Arabidopsis thaliana: one gene and its partners. The protein of the gene in region 1 purifies or fractionates together with the protein of each later gene. This does not show direct contact. Each region holds a gene or a part of one and is shown in the gene's direction. Other genes may lie near its edges. The genes, in order: PPC1, AT5G01320, AT4G33070 and PDC3.

Evidence for each region.
Region 2: the proteins of PPC1 (region 1) and AT5G01320 fractionate together in Arabidopsis thaliana (co-fractionation; one large-scale study listed by BioGRID). This does not show direct contact.
Region 3: the proteins of PPC1 (region 1) and AT4G33070 fractionate together in Arabidopsis thaliana (co-fractionation; one large-scale study listed by BioGRID). This does not show direct contact.
Region 4: the proteins of PPC1 (region 1) and PDC3 fractionate together in Arabidopsis thaliana (co-fractionation; one large-scale study listed by BioGRID). This does not show direct contact.

What each region holds. Positions count from the first base shown.
Region 1 is NC_003070.9:19,883,412-19,890,428, reverse strand, and holds PPC1 (phosphoenolpyruvate carboxylase 1), read left to right. Parts: upstream 1-2,015; 5' UTR 2,016-2,124; exon of another isoform or gene 2,125-2,340; 5' UTR 2,341-2,358; coding exon 2,359-2,526; intron 2,527-2,752; coding exon 2,753-3,147; intron 3,148-3,227; coding exon 3,228-3,312; intron 3,313-3,386; coding exon 3,387-3,609; intron 3,610-3,709; coding exon 3,710-3,813; intron 3,814-3,904; coding exon 3,905-3,995; intron 3,996-4,094; coding exon 4,095-4,249; intron 4,250-4,325; coding exon 4,326-5,324; intron 5,325-5,406; coding exon 5,407-5,793; intron 5,794-5,871; coding exon 5,872-6,168; 3' UTR 6,169-6,494; downstream 6,495-7,017. UniProt on the Arabidopsis thaliana protein: Through the carboxylation of phosphoenolpyruvate (PEP) it forms oxaloacetate, a four-carbon dicarboxylic acid source for the tricarboxylic acid cycle. Contributes probably to the adaptation to inorganic phosphate (Pi) deprivation.
Region 2 is NC_003076.8:128,714-133,223, reverse strand, and holds AT5G01320 (Thiamine pyrophosphate dependent pyruvate decarboxylase family protein), read left to right. Parts: upstream 1-1,536; 5' UTR 1,537-1,598; coding exon 1,599-2,117; intron 2,118-2,203; coding exon 2,204-2,367; intron 2,368-2,444; coding exon 2,445-3,095; intron 3,096-3,195; coding exon 3,196-3,502; intron 3,503-3,569; coding exon 3,570-3,740; 3' UTR 3,741-3,961; downstream 3,962-4,510. Other genes in the region: PDC3 (pyruvate decarboxylase-3), read left to right, coding at 128-434, 516-686; APTX (APRATAXIN-like protein), read right to left, coding at 4,264-4,510.
Region 3 is NC_003075.7:15,951,708-15,956,427, reverse strand, and holds AT4G33070 (Thiamine pyrophosphate dependent pyruvate decarboxylase family protein), read left to right. Parts: upstream 1-1,624; 5' UTR 1,625-1,751; coding exon 1,752-2,282; intron 2,283-2,374; coding exon 2,375-2,538; intron 2,539-2,609; coding exon 2,610-3,260; intron 3,261-3,350; coding exon 3,351-3,657; intron 3,658-3,738; coding exon 3,739-3,909; 3' UTR 3,910-4,171; downstream 4,172-4,720. Other genes in the region: AT4G33060 (Cyclophilin-like peptidyl-prolyl cis-trans isomerase family protein), read right to left, coding at 4,474-4,614. UniProt on the Arabidopsis thaliana protein: May play a role in ethanolic fermentation during anoxia.
Region 4 is NC_003076.8:131,764-136,803, reverse strand, and holds PDC3 (pyruvate decarboxylase-3), read left to right. Parts: upstream 1-1,883; 5' UTR 1,884-1,996; coding exon 1,997-2,482; intron 2,483-2,547; coding exon 2,548-2,711; intron 2,712-2,784; coding exon 2,785-3,435; intron 3,436-3,707; coding exon 3,708-4,014; intron 4,015-4,095; coding exon 4,096-4,266; 3' UTR 4,267-4,540; downstream 4,541-5,040.

The sequences.
Region 1 (7,017 bases):
TCAGTTAAAAGTATAGTTTTTGCTAAAAATATTTATAACGGCATTAATCACGATACTCGCGTAAGTAGTATACTCTACCATATACTATCTTTTAGTGAGTCGGAAATATGTCATAAGCCATTACGCGACCATGCAATATTGCTTCCGTAAGCATCCGCACTAGTAAAGTGTCCAAATGGATGCCGTCAAAACAACAAAAGTGTTTTAAAAAAGAACCGAAACAAGTTTTCACACTTGGTCCTTAGCTTCTCAAACTCTTCTTCGTCCTGATAATGGACTTTAATTATCATGTTATACGTCAACCAAGTTATCAGCTAACCATCATCACTTTATTAAGTATATGCAGCCTTGTGCTCATAATATTCATTATATTATACTAAAAGTCTAATCATATGAAGAAAGGAAAAAAAAAAAAAGAGGCTTGTTTATGAAATTAAGGAGTGCACGTAAGGCCATATTTATAATTCTATTTCAGAAAATGTAAATTCAAACACGGCAAATATGTTAGTTTCATGGTGCATGCATGATGCATTTCCAACTGTTTCTTTTTTTGGGGATGAAAATGTATTTCCACCGGTTAATTAACGAAGCTTCTATTTCATGTTTCCGTTTTCTTTTACTTTTTTTTTTTGTTTTTACTTCATATATATCATTTGACAAAGTTAAGGCTTTAAAATGGCAGTAGTTTCTTAATTTGTTTTTAGATTTTGGATTTATGGTGTTTAGTTCTTAGTTTTTTTTTGCAGTAAATTTTTAGTTTTATATAAATGTATGTACCCAATACATATCACTATATATTTTATAGTCCAAAAGAATTTTATGTGATGGTGAAAAGAAAAAAATGTGTGATCATTCGCTGAAATTAATAAATTTTGCAGTATATTAAAGAAAACTAGAAAAGTGAGTACCTAATATTCCAACAATTAGACTGTATCACTCATGCCTGTCGTCTGTCGACTGTTGACTTGTGTTATAATAAAGACATTTCAAATTATCCGAATATTCCATTAGCACATATGAAGATATCCAATTTTTGAATAATTGGAGTCGACCAATGTAAAATATTCATAACGTGACATCACATCACATACATGTACGACTTTGTCACTTACCAAAAATGATCTAGTTATGATAATAACATCATCACATGAGTAAGAATGATAAGGCATGATCTAATCAGCATCATATACCGCTACTTTATTTACTATCACATTTTCGTTCACAAGAGTAATATTATATTTGATTTTATATATGTCTAAAAATTTATCGTAGACTGCCGATTTTAGATTTTGGGAGGTTAGAAGAACTAATAAAACCGAAAGAAATAGATGATGGTCGGTTAAATACTTAAGTCCTTTATAAGAAAGAAAAATTAAAAGTCAACTTTATCGCTGAAAGTGAAAGTTAGGTTGAAAGTTCAGAGATTTATTCATCAACTTCCGTGCATTGACACATGCTCTTCTCTACATTCGCTCACGTGAATTTTAGAACAACAAATTATTTTACAAACACTATAATCTTCCGGTAATTTAACCACAATAAAGAGATAAATAATCTTTATATTAAATCGATCGAATTCTAATTCTGTAGGTACTGTGAGTCAAACATGAAAGTGTAAATTTTCAAAATATGATTGGTGTTAACTTAGGTGAATCAATTTTTGATGTTTTTTTGTTGATTATATAAATCAAAATTACGGAAGAATGCATGTTGTTTACATAAGTGATATAATTAATTTTTTACTGATATATTAAAAATAAAAATATTTTATGTTATTGTTTTGGTTATTTTTTTGTTCCACAAAAATTAATTAATCATAATATTTCTTTCTTGACTATCACTAGATTCAATGAAAATCTCTCTTTTATACATAAATAAAAATCTTCTCAATGCATTAATAAATATATATAAATTGAGGAAAAAAAGAGATAGAAATCATGGAAAAAAAGGTTAAAAATTCCAACTATAAGCGAGCATCACATATAGAAATAGAATAATGTATAGGAATCCATCATGATCTCACTCTCTATATATAGGTAAGCCAAGTATCTTATTTTTGGTTATGTATCTCTGAAATCTGAATCTGACTGACTTCAAAGGACACAGCTTTTACTTCTATAACTGGTTAGCTTCTCCACACACACACACACTTGTTAGATTTACTTTTCCTCCGCACTATCAGCAGATTTTTCTCATCTGGGTCTGTTTGTTTCTGTTGACTCAAAGTTTCCGACTTTCTTATTTTCTGTCTCCGATTTCATCGCCGAAATCTCAGTCAATTTTGTCTTTAGATCTTTAATTTTTGGATCCCTTTAATTATTTTGTTTGGTCTTACTTCAGAGCGAAGCAGGTGAAAAAATGGCGAATCGGAAGTTAGAGAAGATGGCATCGATTGATGTTCATCTTCGTCAACTGGTTCCTGGCAAAGTTAGTGAAGACGACAAGCTTGTTGAGTATGATGCTTTGCTTCTAGATCGGTTTCTCGATATCCTCCAGGATTTGCACGGTGAAGATCTCCGTGAAACTGTACGTTTTCTCCATTTTGGATTTGACCCTTTTGCTATAAGATCCTGAAACTACATGCTCTGTTTTGAGTATTGACTAAAGGTTTCAACTTTTTTTGATTCGATCATGGATTAGATTAGTTAGGGTTTTGAAACGCAGGAAGATTTAAACTTTATGTTAGTTTTGAGATTAGTAGTTTCATGTGATCTAATTTTGATGATCTTATTGTGTGTGTTGTTGTATATAGGTTCAAGAGCTTTATGAGCATTCTGCAGAATACGAAGGGAAGCATGAACCTAAGAAGCTAGAGGAGCTAGGGAGTGTGCTAACGAGTTTAGATCCAGGAGATTCCATTGTTATCGCTAAAGCTTTCTCTCATATGCTTAACTTAGCCAATTTGGCTGAGGAAGTGCAGATTGCTTATCGCCGTAGGATCAAGAAGCTGAAGAAAGGTGATTTTGTTGATGAGAGCTCTGCTACTACTGAATCTGATCTTGAAGAAACTTTCAAGAAGCTTGTTGGAGATCTGAACAAGTCTCCTGAAGAGATCTTTGATGCTCTCAAGAATCAGACTGTGGATTTGGTTTTGACTGCTCATCCTACTCAGTCTGTGAGAAGATCATTGCTTCAGAAACATGGGAGGTTAGTCTTTGAGGCTTCACCGGGCTTGCTTTGGATCGATGTTTTGATGTTAAAGTTATCTACTTTGTGCGGTTTTTCAGGATAAGAGACTGTCTGGCTCAACTATATGCTAAGGATATTACTCCTGATGACAAGCAAGAGCTCGATGAGGCTCTTCAGAGAGAGGTAAAATCTTATTGGATTCTTCATATTTACATGATTTTGGAAACTAATGGAAAAAAAACTTGGGTTTTTGTTAGATTCAAGCTGCATTCCGAACAGATGAAATCAAAAGAACACCACCTACTCCTCAAGATGAGATGAGAGCGGGAATGAGTTATTTCCATGAAACTATCTGGAAAGGTGTTCCTAAGTTTCTGCGCCGTGTTGACACGGCTTTGAAAAACATAGGGATCGAAGAACGTGTTCCATATAATGCTCCATTGATTCAGTTCTCTTCTTGGATGGGTGGTGATCGTGACGGTACATTTCTACAAGTCCTTCTCGCATAGCTCTCTTATTGCGCTCCCTCTCTTAATGGTTTTACTCATGTCACAAACTCACAATATATGTGTATTTGCAGGTAACCCAAGGGTTACACCTGAAGTCACCAGAGATGTTTGCTTGTTAGCTAGAATGATGGCTGCTACTATGTACTTTAACCAAATCGAAGATCTTATGTTTGAGGTTTGATCTCGAGTTCTTTTTTTGAGTTTAGTCTCCTTACTTTCTTTTATTTATGTATCACCTCATTTCATGATTACTGCTTCTTTCATAGATGTCTATGTGGCGTTGCAATGACGAGCTGCGTGCGCGAGCTGATGAAGTTCATGCAAATTCGAGGAAAGATGCTGCAAAACATTACATAGGTAAGAAAAATAACCGATTTTGAGCATTTTGTTTATGTTTAAGCTATGTGTCTGGAACCGATTTAATTTGGAACCTATCATTCATTGTCTTGATTGCAGAATTCTGGAAGTCAATTCCTACAACTGAGCCATACCGTGTGATTCTTGGCGATGTAAGGGACAAGCTTTATCACACACGTGAACGCGCTCATCAACTGCTCAGCAATGGACACTCTGATGTCCCTGTAGAGGCTACTTTCATTAACTTGGAACAGGTATCATTGCAATTAGAATCTTTTAACTCCCGGTTATGATTTGGTACTAAACCACTCTCTCATGCTATTTGTGTAGTTCTTGGAACCTCTTGAGCTCTGTTACCGATCTCTGTGTTCATGTGGTGATCGTCCAATAGCAGATGGAAGCCTTCTTGATTTCTTGAGGCAAGTCTCAACCTTTGGGCTCTCTCTTGTGAGACTTGACATAAGGCAAGAATCTGACCGCCACACTGATGTATTGGATGCTATCACCACGCATTTAGATATCGGATCCTACAGAGAGTGGTCTGAAGAACGCCGCCAAGAATGGCTTTTATCTGAGCTAAGTGGCAAACGTCCGCTTTTCGGTTCTGATCTTCCTAAAACCGAAGAAATAGCTGATGTTCTGGACACGTTTCATGTCATAGCCGAGCTACCAGCAGATAGCTTTGGTGCTTACATTATCTCTATGGCAACTGCACCTTCTGATGTATTAGCTGTTGAGCTTTTACAGCGTGAATGCCGAGTGAAACAGCCTTTGAGAGTTGTTCCGCTCTTTGAGAAGCTAGCAGATCTGGAAGCAGCTCCTGCTGCAGTTGCTAGGCTCTTTTCTGTTGATTGGTACAAAAACCGAATTAACGGTAAGCAAGAGGTTATGATTGGTTATTCGGATTCAGGAAAAGATGCTGGACGGTTATCTGCTGCTTGGCAGTTATACAAAGCTCAAGAAGAGCTTGTGAAGGTTGCTAAAGAGTACGGTGTGAAGCTAACAATGTTTCACGGTCGTGGTGGCACGGTCGGAAGAGGAGGTGGACCAACCCATCTTGCTATATTGTCTCAGCCTCCGGATACTATTAACGGTTCCCTCCGTGTCACAGTTCAAGGTGAAGTCATCGAGCAATCGTTTGGTGAAGAGCACTTATGCTTTAGAACACTTCAGCGTTTCACAGCTGCTACACTCGAGCACGGTATGCGTCCTCCAATTTCGCCTAAACCAGAATGGCGCGCTTTGCTGGATGAAATGGCGGTTGTTGCAACCGAGGAGTATCGCTCAGTTGTGTTCCAAGAACCTCGGTTTGTCGAGTACTTCCGCCTCGTAAGTATTATTACATTCACTCGGAATCTTTAACTCACCCCACAGAGTCTTAAAACTCACAGAATCTTAAAATCTGTTGCAGGCTACACCGGAACTGGAGTATGGACGTATGAATATCGGAAGCAGACCTTCGAAGCGTAAACCAAGCGGTGGCATTGAATCTCTCCGTGCAATTCCATGGATCTTCGCTTGGACTCAAACAAGATTCCATCTTCCTGTATGGCTTGGATTCGGATCAGCAATTAGACATGTGATCGAAAAAGACGTCAGGAACCTCCATATGCTCCAAGATATGTACCAACACTGGCCTTTCTTTAGAGTCACCATTGATCTAATCGAAATGGTGTTCGCTAAAGGAGATCCTGGTATTGCTGCTTTGTACGATAAGCTTCTTGTTTCAGAGGAACTCTGGCCTTTTGGTGAGAAACTCAGAGCTAACTTCGAAGAAACCAAGAAACTCATCCTCCAGGTAAAAACAGAGCCTTCTTGACTTCTTTCTTCTTATTATTATTGTAAGGTTTTGTCTGAATGGCTTTGCTGTTTGCAGACCGCTGGACACAAAGATCTTCTTGAAGGTGATCCTTACTTGAAACAGAGACTGAGACTTCGTGATTCTTACATTACAACTCTCAATGTCTGTCAAGCTTACACATTGAAGAGAATCCGTGATCCGAGTTACCATGTGACTCTGCGACCACACATTTCTAAGGAGATAGCGGAATCGAGCAAACCAGCAAAAGAACTCATCGAGCTTAACCCGACTAGCGAATACGCGCCAGGACTTGAAGATACACTCATCTTGACGATGAAGGGTATTGCTGCTGGTCTACAAAACACCGGTTAAGCTACAAAGAGATGGTTAAACAAACTTTGAATCTCTCTTTCTCTCTCAAGTCTCTCCTTTTTTTAACTACAGATTTGGAAAATAAGGTTGGATTCTGGTTTATTTTATGTATCCACCGTCAAAATGTTGATTTTCGTGTACGAGTACTTCGAGATCATTGAACACATGCTCTGTTTTTTTCTCAAGTTTAATAAAACAGAACAAGAGAATCTTTTCTTGTTTATTTTCTTATCTACACCACTAGACCAAGAACGGCACTGACTTAGTTGCTTAAAACACTTCGGTCTGGTTTGGTTCGGCTTTTTGTTCATCATTGTGTAAACAAACATGTAGTTTGAGTATGTTTGTGGTCCCGAAAAACGGCAGACATGTTTGCGGAAAGAGGCCGTTAAAAAGCAAAAATGGTTCGAAGAAAACGACACGGTGTTTGAGTCTCGTATATAGACACGGTGTGCATTTTCTAGTTCGAGTAACGTCCCAACGGCTCTGTATTAATTGTGAGAATTTATAGCGTACATGTACGGTGTACCGGTTTTTCACCAACGTACTTTATGCTTTAATTTAATTTCACTGAGGTCAAAAAGTTCACACTAGTCTTAGTCGGTGAGTGTTAATCACGCGCCTCCACTAATGATGCAAAAAAACAGAAATTTTATTATTATTAGTAAATTGGCTTTTCTGTGATATAATAATAATAATAAACTCAAATTTAGCTAAAAGTTGAAGACGACCAAACATATGTTATCCATCAAAATATAGTTTAAAATAAAAAGAGAAAAATACGTGTCAAACTACCACGAATTAAGGGCACCGACTTTGGCCGGCGGTAGAATAGCACCGGCTAACGAC
Region 2 (4,510 bases), on another chromosome or scaffold:
AATGCCTTGGTATTTAGCCTGAGATGATTTATGGGCCTATATAGATATCCCCAGAACTTTTTAGTAATTCTCTGGAAAAGAAAAAACACACAAGAGTTTTAAAAAGTCGTTGTTCTCTATATTGTAGGTACGAGTTTCAAATGCAGTATGGATCAATTGGTTGGTCTGTTGGTGCGACTCTAGGATACGCTCAAGCAACACCGGAGAAGAGAGTGTTGTCTTTCATTGGAGACGGAAGTTTCCAAGTGACGGCTCAGGACGTTTCCACAATGATTCGTAACGGACAGAAGACCATCATCTTCCTGATCAACAACGGTGGCTACACCATTGAAGTTGAGATTCATGATGGTCCTTACAATGTGATCAAGAATTGGAACTACACTGGTCTTGTCGATGCTATTCATAATGGTGAAGGCAAATGCTGGACCACAAAGGTAATTGATGTTTACAGTTGGAAATTAAACATATGAGTCCAGGGTTGAAGAGTAACATTATGAATGTTGTGTTTTTGGTAGGTGAGATACGAGGAGGAGTTAGTGGAAGCGATTAACACGGCGACATTGGAGAAGAAAGATAGTCTTTGTTTCATTGAAGTGATTGTTCACAAGGATGATACGAGCAAAGAGTTGCTTGAGTGGGGCTCTCGCGTCTCAGCTGCTAATGGTCGTCCTCCCAATCCTCAGTAGAAGCAAGAGAAAAGAAACGAATCTTGAGTGTCGCTCAAGCATCTATCGTTTATTGGCAATCTAATCACATCGCTACTTTTGTTCTTTCTCTTATGTCTAATTAAGTACTGGTTTCGATTTTTTGACCGCTGGTTTTAATTGATTTTGCTTTTAATATCCTTCATATTAGGGAACCCCTTGTTGACAAAGTTTTCATTATAAACTTCAATATTTCTGCTTTTTCTTAAACGTGAAATGAAAATTGTTGATGGAATCAGGATGGAATATTCTAATCTTATTAATGCCTTTACGTGCATGTAAATTATTGAGTTCCAATAATTATACTAACTTCTCAATATAAGGTAATAAAATTCTTGAACAATACGAATCTAGTATTTCTTTAGGTTCTTTTTCGTTTCTTTGGCAGCTACTTAATGTAAGTTATATCATAGTTAAGACGAAAATCAGAGACTTAATGCTGCATTAATGGTTCATCTTGGCAAACAAGTTCAAAGATACATATATAGTTAATAACAAAAATAAAATAAAAAATCCATGTTATACTCTAATATAGTTTGAAAATAAATTTATTTTCATCATCTTCTAACGTAAAATGTCTTTTCGTATCACAAAAAATTATAAATTTTTTAGTGCAAAATAAAACGTCCGTGTTTCGTGTATATAAGTATCAATTTATATAAGTAAATTTCTATCTGTAAAAAAGTAACTAAATGTAAGATGACAGCAAGAAAATTGCAAAAATATTTCAGTAAATCTTTATGCTTTTGGCACAAGGAAGTCAGAAACCGAATGTAATTTGCACTAATCAACATGTACAACTATATAACCCATCTAATAATTCCAATTTATTACTCATCATCACCACTAAAATAAATACTAAAAGGTTTCATTTTCTTCATAATAAGCTTTCCAATGGACACCAAAATTGGAGCCATCGACACGTGTAAGCCAACAACTGGTGACATCGGAAGTCCACCAAGCAACGCCGTCGCAACAATCCAAGACTCCGCTCCCATCACCACAACCTCCGAATCGACTCTAGGACGTCACTTATCCCGCCGTCTTGTCCAAGCCGGAGTCACCGATGTTTTCTCTGTTCCCGGTGATTTCAACCTAACTCTTCTCGACCACCTCATCGCCGAGCCAGAGCTCAACAACATCGGATGCTGTAACGAGCTTAACGCCGGTTACGCCGCCGATGGATACGCTCGATCTCGTGGAGTCGGTGCTTGCGTCGTGACTTTCACCGTTGGTGGACTCAGCGTTTTGAACGCTATCGCTGGTGCGTACAGTGAGAACCTACCAGTTATATGTATCGTTGGAGGTCCTAACTCCAACGATTTTGGCACTAACCGGATTCTTCATCACACCATCGGTTTACCTGACTTTAGCCAAGAGCTTAGGTGTTTCCAAACTGTTACTTGCTACCAGGTATTAACACATTTCAATATCAACTAGTCTTGATCATCACATATATATCTCCTTTGCTTAGATTTTAACTATGTGTTTGTTTTCAGGCTGTGGTGAACAATTTGGAGGATGCTCATGAACAGATCGACAAGGCGATAGCAACAGCTTTGAAAGAGAGCAAGCCTGTGTACATTAGCATCAGTTGCAACTTAGCTGCAACTCCTCATCCTACGTTTGCTCGTGATCCTGTCCCTTTTGACCTAACTCCTAGGTAATCATTACTCTAAACAGACTCATCGAATCAACGTTTGTTTTAGATTTCTCACTATTGTATGTATTGTTTCTTAGGATGAGCAACACGATGGGTTTAGAAGCTGCGGTGGAAGCAACATTGGAGTTTCTGAACAAGGCAGTGAAGCCAGTTATGGTTGGTGGCCCAAAGTTGCGTGTGGCTAAAGCAAGTGAGGCCTTTTTGGAGCTAGCTGATGCTTCAGGCTACCCTCTCGCAGTGATGCCTTCTACAAAAGGCCTTGTACCAGAGAACCATCCTCATTTCATTGGCACTTACTGGGGAGCAGTAAGCACACCTTTCTGCTCTGAGATTGTCGAATCTGCGGATGCTTACATCTTCGCAGGTCCAATCTTCAACGACTACAGCTCCGTAGGTTACTCTCTTCTCCTCAAGAAAGAAAAAGCAATAATTGTGCATCCTGATCGAGTCGTTGTGGCTAATGGTCCAACGTTTGGTTGCGTTCTGATGAGCGATTTCTTCAGGGAGTTGGCTAAGAGGGTTAAGCGTAACGAGACAGCTTATGAGAACTATGAGAGGATCTTTGTACCTGAAGGTAAGCCATTGAAATGCAAACCAGGAGAGCCATTGAGGGTCAACGCAATGTTCCAACACATTCAGAAGATGCTCTCTAGTGAAACCGCTGTGATTGCTGAAACTGGTGATTCTTGGTTCAATTGTCAGAAGCTAAAGCTGCCTAAAGGATGTGGGTACGTGTCTAACAAAGAAACTGAATCTTTGACATTTCTAACATTGTGACAATAGCGAAACAAACACAAGTTTTGAGAAAAGTTGTTCTCTATATTGTAGGTACGAGTTTCAGATGCAGTATGGATCCATTGGTTGGTCTGTTGGTGCGACTCTAGGATACGCCCAAGCAACCCCGGAGAAGAGAGTGTTGTCTTTCATTGGAGATGGGAGTTTCCAAGTGACTGCTCAGGACATATCCACGATGATTCGTAACGGACAGAAGGCGATCATCTTCTTGATCAACAACGGTGGCTACACCATTGAAGTTGAGATTCATGATGGTCCTTACAATGTTATCAAGAACTGGAACTACACTGGTCTTGTCGATGCTATTCATAACGGTGAAGGAAAATGCTGGACCACAAAGGTAATTAATGATTACAACTAGTAACTAACGTATGAATTTGGTGTTGAAGTAACATTGTGTTTGGCAGGTGAGATACGAGGAGGAGTTAGTGGAAGCGATTAAGACTGCGACAACGGAGAAGAAAGATAGTCTTTGTTTCATTGAAGTGATTGTTCACAAAGATGATACAAGCAAAGAGTTGCTTGAGTGGGGATCTCGCGTCTCAGCTGCTAATGGTCGTCCTCCCAATCCTCAGTAGAAGCAAGAGAAAAGAATCTTGAGTGTGACTCAAGCATCTCTCGTTTCTTTGCAATTGAATTAGATTGTTTTCTGTTCGAATTTTCGAATTTTCGACCGTTGGTTTTAATTGCTTTTGATACTTTCCAGTTAGTTGTACTGTACCATTACCATTGATGGTGTAATACAATTCCCTTTTTCCCTAATATTCTTCAATATTTGTGCTTTTTCTTATATGTAAAGTCCGAAAAAAATCAATTGATTCAACCTAAATCAAACATTTTTAAACCATCTTACATCTCAATTGGGTTAAAATTTATTTGACTTTTTTTTCTTTTTATCTGTCTTGTTTTCTTGCCATTTAAGTTTATAACTCAAGAACAAAATCAAAAACTTAATAACCAGAAGAAGATGAAAACCTAAGAACAGAGATGAATTTTTACAGAGACTGAATCTGAACCAAAATCACAATATATATTACCCGTAACAATTAGATAACAAAGAAAAAAAAATCCTAACCGAAATAGAACCGGTCGTTATAACTACTACGTCTCTGCTCTAGCCACAAGGCGATTGTTTTGGAGTAAATGGTCTGGAAATTGAGAATGGCAGCTTCTGACATGTGATTTAAGTTTTGGAATATTTGGGTGTGCGCTTCTACACCGATTGCAACGCAGCTCACCTTTCAACAGATCTTCGCTCGCCACATTGGCCTTGCCTTGGCTGTTGACCTCTTCAAGTACATCAACTGAGTCACGGAAGAACGAGGTCGTGAAAGAGTTCCAGTGTTTC
Region 3 (4,720 bases), on another chromosome or scaffold:
CAGCACATAAGTTTTCACCTCTCAGTATTGAACATGCGCCGTATTTCAATTTCAAGCTTATAAGAATATTATTTTCTGTTTTGTCTCGTCACGTAGAAGAACACTCAACACAACGGGTCATATAAAAACAATCAATTGACCAATTGAAACACTTACCATTAGCTTTACTAAAACAAAAAGTGCTACAGCTCAATTATTTCGACGTACTTTTTTTTTTTTTTTTTTTGGTCTTTTGTGGCCTATTTCGACGTTCTTTAAAACCACGATCATAGTGGTTTGGGATATAGTAATTAATTTCATGTGTTTAACCAAAAGGTAGGAAAAGTAATTAATTATTAGTTGTTGAGAAATCAAGTTGCAAAGGAGATTACCGGCGACTCCGTTGGTTTATGAAACAAACAATGAGACGGTTTAGAATGACGGTGGCCCCAATATTTTAGGTCTGCTCATATTATTTTGAATGATTTAATTTTTTTTATTTAAATAAGGTACCCTTATATACATAAATGATTTAATTTAGTAAAAGCTTTTGTTTATATTGCTTTTATACAAGTTTTTGGGTATGACTATTTTAACCTCAATCCTCAAAACTATAAAATCTATTATTGCACGCTTGGATTTTATATATATATATTCAATCTATAAGAACTAAAAAATAAAAGTGATCATAGTCAAATAATTTTTGCATAAATACTTAATATTGCTACCCAAAAAAAAGAAAATTGCATAAATTTATGTATAATTACATTATGAAAAATTATTGATATGTTGATATACAGTTTTCTAGGAAATATCAATATGAAAAGAAAAAAAGAAAAAAAAACATTGTAAGCTATTTCCCTTGAATTACACTATATGTATGTGTGACAGTATATATGTGTGAGCTTAATCATATAATTACCGTAACATCACTATTGATCTTGAAAGTTACGACGACAAAAACAAGATTCCATCATAGATCTACGTGTATCTTTTGTGTGATTAGTATATAACCAAAGCGATTAAGTGAATTTAAAATTTGTAGATATTTCTTACTTAACTGATTATACTATAAGAAGCAAACCCCAAAACCATCTGCATCTCAACGACGATAATCGTCCGAATATGTTTTTCTAATAGAGTTTGCTGACCAAATGCAAATGGCATCACGTCTCTTGCCGTTTGACGCTAGCAATTACACTTCTTCATTGAAACTTTAAAAGTGAACCCAAAGAATTAACTCAATAATAACTGATGAGTATACAAATTATTGTTTCCGGCTAAAAACCTGAAATTAACTCAAATTTGGAATGGGGATATTATAACTTTGTTCCCACGTATAACAAATTAGTTCATAATTAAGAGGAGAATCACAAAAATAACTGATGTATTGATGTTCAATTTTGGAAAATTAAGATATTTCCAATGGTAATAATCTGTTACAGCCTTACTGGGAGTAGTATGATACTAAAACAGTAAATGCATTTTAGACCGACATAAACAATAATTAAGAAGAAGAATGTTTGGGTCAAATCTCAAAGTTAGATATTATTTTTTTGCTTTTTGCACAAGAAAACAGAAACCAAAAACCACTAGTCAAAAAACCACCCATGTATTCCTCCTAGTCTCTAATCCAACAACTATATAAAAACCTCTCCCATTCTCATTTTGTTACTCATCCCAAAAATAAAAAGAGTATATCTCTCACACACATACACAAACTTGACAGTTTTTTAATTTCTCTGTTAGTGAACTCAAACCTTCCCATTTCCATGGACACCAAAATCGGATCGATCGATGATTGCAAGCCGACGAACGGCGACGTCTGTAGTCCAACAAACGGCACCGTCGCAACAATCCACAACTCTGTTCCTTCCTCCGCTATCACCATCAACTACTGCGACGCGACTCTCGGCCGTCACTTAGCTCGTCGTCTCGTCCAAGCCGGCGTTACGGATGTTTTCTCTGTTCCCGGAGATTTCAACCTCACTTTGCTTGATCACCTCATGGCTGAGCCGGACCTCAACCTAATCGGATGTTGTAACGAGCTAAACGCCGGTTACGCTGCCGACGGTTACGCTAGATCTCGTGGAGTCGGCGCTTGCGTTGTTACCTTCACCGTTGGTGGACTCAGCGTTTTAAACGCGATCGCTGGTGCTTACAGCGAGAATCTTCCTCTTATCTGTATCGTCGGAGGTCCTAACTCTAACGATTATGGCACTAACCGGATTCTTCATCACACCATTGGATTACCTGATTTTAGCCAAGAGCTTAGGTGCTTCCAAACGGTGACTTGTTATCAGGTAATCACAAAAAATCAGATCTAATTAGAAATATTTTGAAGATTAATTAGCGTCGGATTATGAATGATTTTGGTTCTGTTTTTGTTTCTCAGGCGGTGGTGAACAATTTAGATGATGCTCATGAACAGATTGATAAAGCAATATCAACAGCTTTGAAAGAGAGCAAGCCTGTGTATATAAGTGTAAGCTGTAACTTAGCAGCGATTCCTCATCATACATTTAGCCGTGATCCTGTCCCTTTTTCTCTAGCTCCAAGGTAATTTATACTTGAACTCTGATCAATACTCTGTTTCTGCGAGAATTAAAACTCACAAATGGTTTTATCAGATTGAGCAACAAGATGGGTTTAGAAGCTGCGGTGGAAGCAACATTGGAGTTTCTGAATAAGGCTGTGAAGCCAGTTATGGTTGGTGGTCCTAAGTTGCGTGTGGCTAAAGCTTGTGATGCCTTTGTTGAGCTAGCTGATGCTTCAGGCTATGCTTTGGCGATGATGCCTTCTGCGAAAGGCTTTGTACCAGAGCACCATCCTCATTTCATTGGAACTTATTGGGGAGCAGTGAGCACTCCTTTTTGCTCTGAGATTGTGGAATCTGCGGATGCTTACATTTTTGCAGGTCCAATCTTCAACGACTATAGCTCTGTTGGTTACTCGCTTCTCCTCAAGAAAGAAAAAGCCATCGTTGTGCAACCTGATCGTATCACTGTGGCCAATGGTCCTACTTTTGGTTGCATTTTGATGAGCGATTTCTTCAGGGAATTGTCTAAGAGGGTGAAGCGTAACGAGACTGCATATGAGAACTACCATAGGATCTTTGTCCCTGAAGGTAAGCCATTGAAGTGTGAATCAAGAGAGCCATTGAGAGTTAACACAATGTTCCAGCACATTCAGAAGATGCTCTCTAGTGAAACCGCTGTGATTGCTGAAACCGGTGATTCTTGGTTCAATTGCCAAAAACTAAAGCTGCCAAAAGGATGTGGGTAAGTGTCCAGAAAAAAAAAGAGACTCTAATCTTTACACTTATTATAGTGAAGTAGGCACAAGATTTGAACCTGCTTTCTTCATTGTAGGTACGAGTTTCAGATGCAGTATGGATCGATTGGGTGGTCTGTTGGTGCAACTCTAGGATACGCACAGGCATCACCAGAGAAGCGAGTGTTGGCATTCATCGGTGATGGGAGTTTCCAAGTCACGGTTCAGGACATATCAACAATGCTGCGTAATGGACAGAAGACGATCATCTTCTTGATTAACAATGGTGGCTACACCATTGAAGTAGAGATTCATGACGGTCCTTATAACGTGATTAAGAACTGGAACTACACTGGTCTCGTTGACGCCATTCATAACGGTGAAGGCAATTGCTGGACTGCAAAGGTAATTAAAAAGATTGATGACAATGGAGTTTTAGCCAGACTTTGGTTATAAACTAACATATGAATTTGGTGTGTTTGACAGGTGAGATACGAAGAGGAGTTAGTGGAGGCGATTACGACAGCGACGACGGAGAAGAAAGATTGTCTATGTTTCATAGAAGTGATTCTTCACAAGGATGATACGAGCAAAGAGTTGCTTGAGTGGGGCTCACGCGTCTCTGCTGCTAACAGCCGTCCTCCCAATCCTCAGTAGAAGAAGCAACACAGAATCTTCAATGCTTCTTACCAATTTAGTGACATTTTCTGATAAGTGTTGATTTTTCGACCGTTGGGTTTAATCATGTTTCAAACTTATTAGTATCTCTTTCCATGTACGCTTTATCATGGAATAAAGTAAAGCTCCTTTTGCAGTTTCATTAGATTGAACAAATCCAAATGGTTCAATCTAAATCAATTTGGTTAATATCATATGATCTTTTTTGCATTTAAACTTGCTAAAAAATCGAACTAACCATGTTTTGCTAGAATTTTGAACCACATATCCTAGTGAAGAATACCATCCAACCTGGATGACCAATCTATTGAAGATAAATGTCAGTTGAAGGGCTTAAAATCATATCACTTATATAGCTAAGTTTCCTACATATAACATGTATTAACACATTAGTTCTGTATCATTGGAGCTAGTGACCTTATTTAAGATGCTCATTCATGTCTCTGAATGTATCTAAGTTTAAACAGGAGAGATTTTGACAGTGAACGGGCATCTTAAGGATCAACATAAGAAAACAAAATTAAATGGTTAAGATTTCCAAACTCAGGCAAGAGATTTTCCAGACCATTCTCGCTCCCTTCGTTTTTGTTTGGCTTGCATTCTGTTGAACTTCTCTTTTCCCTTTTCAAGAAGAGGGTCAACCACCATATACGCATCTGGATCATCCCTGCGTGACATTTTATCCTGCAGGATAGTTTCACACTGTCAGGTTCTTCCACAGGACACTATAAACACAAACATAGCTCAGCCTTCTGATGAAATCATTTGTGATTAGCATGCACTATCCTAT
Region 4 (5,040 bases), on another chromosome or scaffold:
GAACATTCTTCAATACAGCCCAGGTTGGAGCAGTCTTCAACTCATCAATATTAAGGAGACCTTCTGAAGACCAAGGGTAGACTGTACAAGAACAGTTACCAGCTTGCCAGAATCCCACATCCACCACCCATTGGCGAGTATTAAGAGCCGGAATAAAAATCAGAGCCACAGTCTCGGAGACGATGCGAACGGTAATATCACCGTAATTTCCCCAAATTGGATTCAAATCAGAGAAGATCCGGGTTGCAGGAGGACAAGAGCCATGAAATTGAGCTACGACATGGCCCTTCCACAAAGCAGCAGACTTCAACAAGACCGAGGAAGGAGCGATCACAACCGGAGTACCATCTTCCAAGTAAGTTGGCTGACTCATTTGCTTAAGGTTATGCAGTGAAGCCTTAAACTTAGCTACCCAAGGAAGATCAATTTTTGAATCGGAGCTGGGGGCCTGAGAGGAAGAGCCCGAAATAGGAGTCGAAGACTGAGGAATAGCAGATCCCAAAGAGAGAGACTTGGTAGCAACCATATCTGAGGAGCCAACAGGCCCTGAGCTCGGAGCTAAGAGAGGAGCTGAGCCAACTGAAGGAGTCAAAATGGGGGAACCAGCGGAGGAGATCTCGGACACTGATCCCAAGCCAACCGAGGAGGAAATTACAGTAGGCAGAGGCTGAATGGATGACCCATTCGCTTCAATAGCTACCAGAGGAGTAAGAGTAGACGACTTCGGGATGAGAGAAACAGTCTCCGAAATAACCTCGGGAGACAAGGAATTCTCTTCCAAGTCGAAAACCAGAGGAACAGGGAGAACCAGAGCCAAAGAGCCAGCGCAGGGAAGACCAGAGGAAGGAGGCGAAGCAGATCCGGAAGGAGCAGACGACGACAGGGGGACAGAGCCGGACTGAGCGCAAGCCAAAACCCGAGCGAACTTTGAACTGACAGGAAGGAGAGGGATCTTCTTTTTCTTCTTAGACATGACAAGATCTCAACCGGCGAGAAGCCGGCGACCAGCAACGCGGCGGCAGAAACGGAAAAACCCTAATCGCCTAAAAGTTGGTCACATTGTTTATGTACTCAAAATGAATGTTGGGAATATATTACCGGCGACTCTGTTGGTTTGAGATATTAACAATGATTCGAAGAGATAGTTTTCAAGGTAATCACTAAACACGTTAGAATGTCTGGCAAAAAAAAAATTTACACGTTGAAATATACATTGTTGTTTAACAACATGTTATTAACCCTTTTTTTTGGTTTTAATGTTATGAAAACATAACAACTTGTTCTCACGCGTTAACATGTGCTCCCACGTTAACACATTAATAATCCATTTAAATATTAATGAAATAGCAATGTTCCATCACCATGGAGACTTTTTGTTGTTCATGTGATACTTTATAATGAGCGTCGTAAGTTTACTAACATAGATAAGAGTGTAATTTATGAGAACAAGAACAATTTGTTCCCAAATCCCAAGTAACAGAATTAGTATGAATCGTTTAACTATATAAGAAGCAAGGAACAAAAAGACTCGCAATGTTGTTAAATATGGCCACATACACATGTGAAGTATTATGGTATGGGATCACGATGTAACTCTACCCTTGCGCGCATCACATGTAAATTATTGAATTCTAATAATTTATTTCAAGTTAATACAAGTCGTCTTGAACAATAATACAACTGATCAGTATATCTTTATAAACAATTAAAATATATTATTTTCGTTTCTTTGCACGTTGAATTAAATGTAAGTCCAGAGAGGAAAATCAGATGATTAATTCTGTATGTCTAATTGAACATTTTATAATATAATCGTATGCATTATTCGTATAAAAAACTATATAATTACTAAACAATTTTATTACGAAATAAACTGGTAGTGTTTTGAATCTACTACAACGCACAAACAACTATATAATCCAACAGCATTATACTGCTCACAAGAAAAACAAAGAGAGCTTCATCATCATATCCTAATTATTAAGCTCATTTTCCAATGGACGTCCGAAGTCTACCAAGCAACGGCGTCGCAACAATCCAAGACTCCGCTCCCACCGCCGCAACCATACTCGGCTCCTCTGCAGCGACTCTTGGACGTCACTTATCCCGCCGTCTTGTCCAAGCCGGAGTCACCGACATTTTCACTGTTCCCGGTGATTTCAACCTATCTCTGCTTGACCAGCTCATCGCCAACCCGGAGCTCAACAACATCGGGTGCTGTAACGAGCTAAACGCCGGTTACGCCGCCGATGGATACGCTCGATCTCGTGGAGTCGGTGCTTGCGTCGTGACTTTCACCGTTGGTGGACTCAGCGTTTTGAACGCTATCGCTGGTGCGTACAGTGAGAACCTACCAGTTATATGTATCGTTGGAGGTCCTAACTCCAACGATTTTGGCACTAACCGGATTCTTCATCACACCATTGGTTTACCTGATTTTAGCCAAGAGCTTAGGTGTTTCCAAACTGTTACTTGCTATCAGGTATAACCACATTATCGAATCTTGATCATCACATTCTTAGATTTTGACAGTGTGTTTGTTTTCAGGCTGTGGTGAACCATTTAGAGGATGCTCATGAACAGATCGACAAGGCGATAGCAACAGCTCTGAGAGAGAGCAAGCCTGTGTACATTAGCATCAGCTGTAACTTAGCTGCCATTCCTCATCCTACATTTGCTAGTTATCCTGTCCCTTTTGACCTAACTCCAAGGTAAATATAACTGATCAATCCTGTTCTCTTCAAGAATCAAGCTCAAAGATGTGTGGATTGTTTCTTAAATTAGGTTGAGCAACAAGGATTGTTTAGAAGCTGCCGTGGAAGCAACATTGGAGTTTCTAAACAAGGCCGTGAAGCCCGTTATGGTCGGTGGTCCCAAGTTGCGTGTGGCTAAAGCTAGGGATGCCTTTGTGGAGCTAGCTGATGCTTCAGGCTACCCCGTGGCAGTGATGCCATCTGCCAAAGGCTTTGTCCCAGAGAACCATCCTCATTTCATTGGCACTTACTGGGGAGCAGTGAGCACTCTTTTCTGCTCTGAGATTGTCGAGTCCGCGGATGCTTACATCTTCGCAGGTCCAATCTTCAACGACTACAGCTCCGTTGGTTACTCACTTCTCCTCAAGAAAGAAAAAGCCATCATTGTGCATCCTGATAGTGTCGTTGTGGCTAATGGTCCTACCTTTGGTTGCGTTCGGATGAGCGAATTCTTCAGGGAGTTGGCTAAGAGGGTGAAACCTAACAAGACGGCTTATGAGAACTACCATAGAATCTTTGTCCCTGAAGGTAAGCCTTTGAAATGCAAACCAAGAGAGCCTTTGAGAATCAACGCAATGTTCCAACACATTCAGAAGATGCTCTCTAATGAAACCGCTGTGATTGCTGAAACTGGTGATTCTTGGTTCAATTGTCAGAAACTTAAGCTGCCTAAAGGATGTGGGTACGTATCTAGAAAAAGGAAACTAAATCTTTTACCTTTTAACATTGTTGAAGCAGTCAATATAAGCTCATCTAGTAAAGTCAACATCTAGAAATTGCTGGTTAAAGAGTGGTGGTATATATGTACTTGGTTGGAAACGATATAAAATGCCTTGGTATTTAGCCTGAGATGATTTATGGGCCTATATAGATATCCCCAGAACTTTTTAGTAATTCTCTGGAAAAGAAAAAACACACAAGAGTTTTAAAAAGTCGTTGTTCTCTATATTGTAGGTACGAGTTTCAAATGCAGTATGGATCAATTGGTTGGTCTGTTGGTGCGACTCTAGGATACGCTCAAGCAACACCGGAGAAGAGAGTGTTGTCTTTCATTGGAGACGGAAGTTTCCAAGTGACGGCTCAGGACGTTTCCACAATGATTCGTAACGGACAGAAGACCATCATCTTCCTGATCAACAACGGTGGCTACACCATTGAAGTTGAGATTCATGATGGTCCTTACAATGTGATCAAGAATTGGAACTACACTGGTCTTGTCGATGCTATTCATAATGGTGAAGGCAAATGCTGGACCACAAAGGTAATTGATGTTTACAGTTGGAAATTAAACATATGAGTCCAGGGTTGAAGAGTAACATTATGAATGTTGTGTTTTTGGTAGGTGAGATACGAGGAGGAGTTAGTGGAAGCGATTAACACGGCGACATTGGAGAAGAAAGATAGTCTTTGTTTCATTGAAGTGATTGTTCACAAGGATGATACGAGCAAAGAGTTGCTTGAGTGGGGCTCTCGCGTCTCAGCTGCTAATGGTCGTCCTCCCAATCCTCAGTAGAAGCAAGAGAAAAGAAACGAATCTTGAGTGTCGCTCAAGCATCTATCGTTTATTGGCAATCTAATCACATCGCTACTTTTGTTCTTTCTCTTATGTCTAATTAAGTACTGGTTTCGATTTTTTGACCGCTGGTTTTAATTGATTTTGCTTTTAATATCCTTCATATTAGGGAACCCCTTGTTGACAAAGTTTTCATTATAAACTTCAATATTTCTGCTTTTTCTTAAACGTGAAATGAAAATTGTTGATGGAATCAGGATGGAATATTCTAATCTTATTAATGCCTTTACGTGCATGTAAATTATTGAGTTCCAATAATTATACTAACTTCTCAATATAAGGTAATAAAATTCTTGAACAATACGAATCTAGTATTTCTTTAGGTTCTTTTTCGTTTCTTTGGCAGCTACTTAATGTAAGTTATATCATAGTTAAGACGAAAATCAGAGACTTAATGCTGCATTAATGGTTCATCTTGGCAAACAAGTTCAAAGATACATATATAGTTAATAACAAAAATAAAATAAAAAATCCATGTTATACTCTAATATAGTTTGAAAATAAATTTATTTTCATCATCTTCTAACGTAAAATGTCTTTTCGTATCACAAAAAATTATAAATTTTTTAGTGCAAAATAAAACGTCCGTGTTTCGTGTATATAAGTATCAATTTATATAAGTAAATTTCTATCTGTAAAAAAGTAACTAAATGTAAGATGACAGCAAGAAAATTGCAAAAATATTTCAGTAAATCTTTATGCTTTTGGCACAAG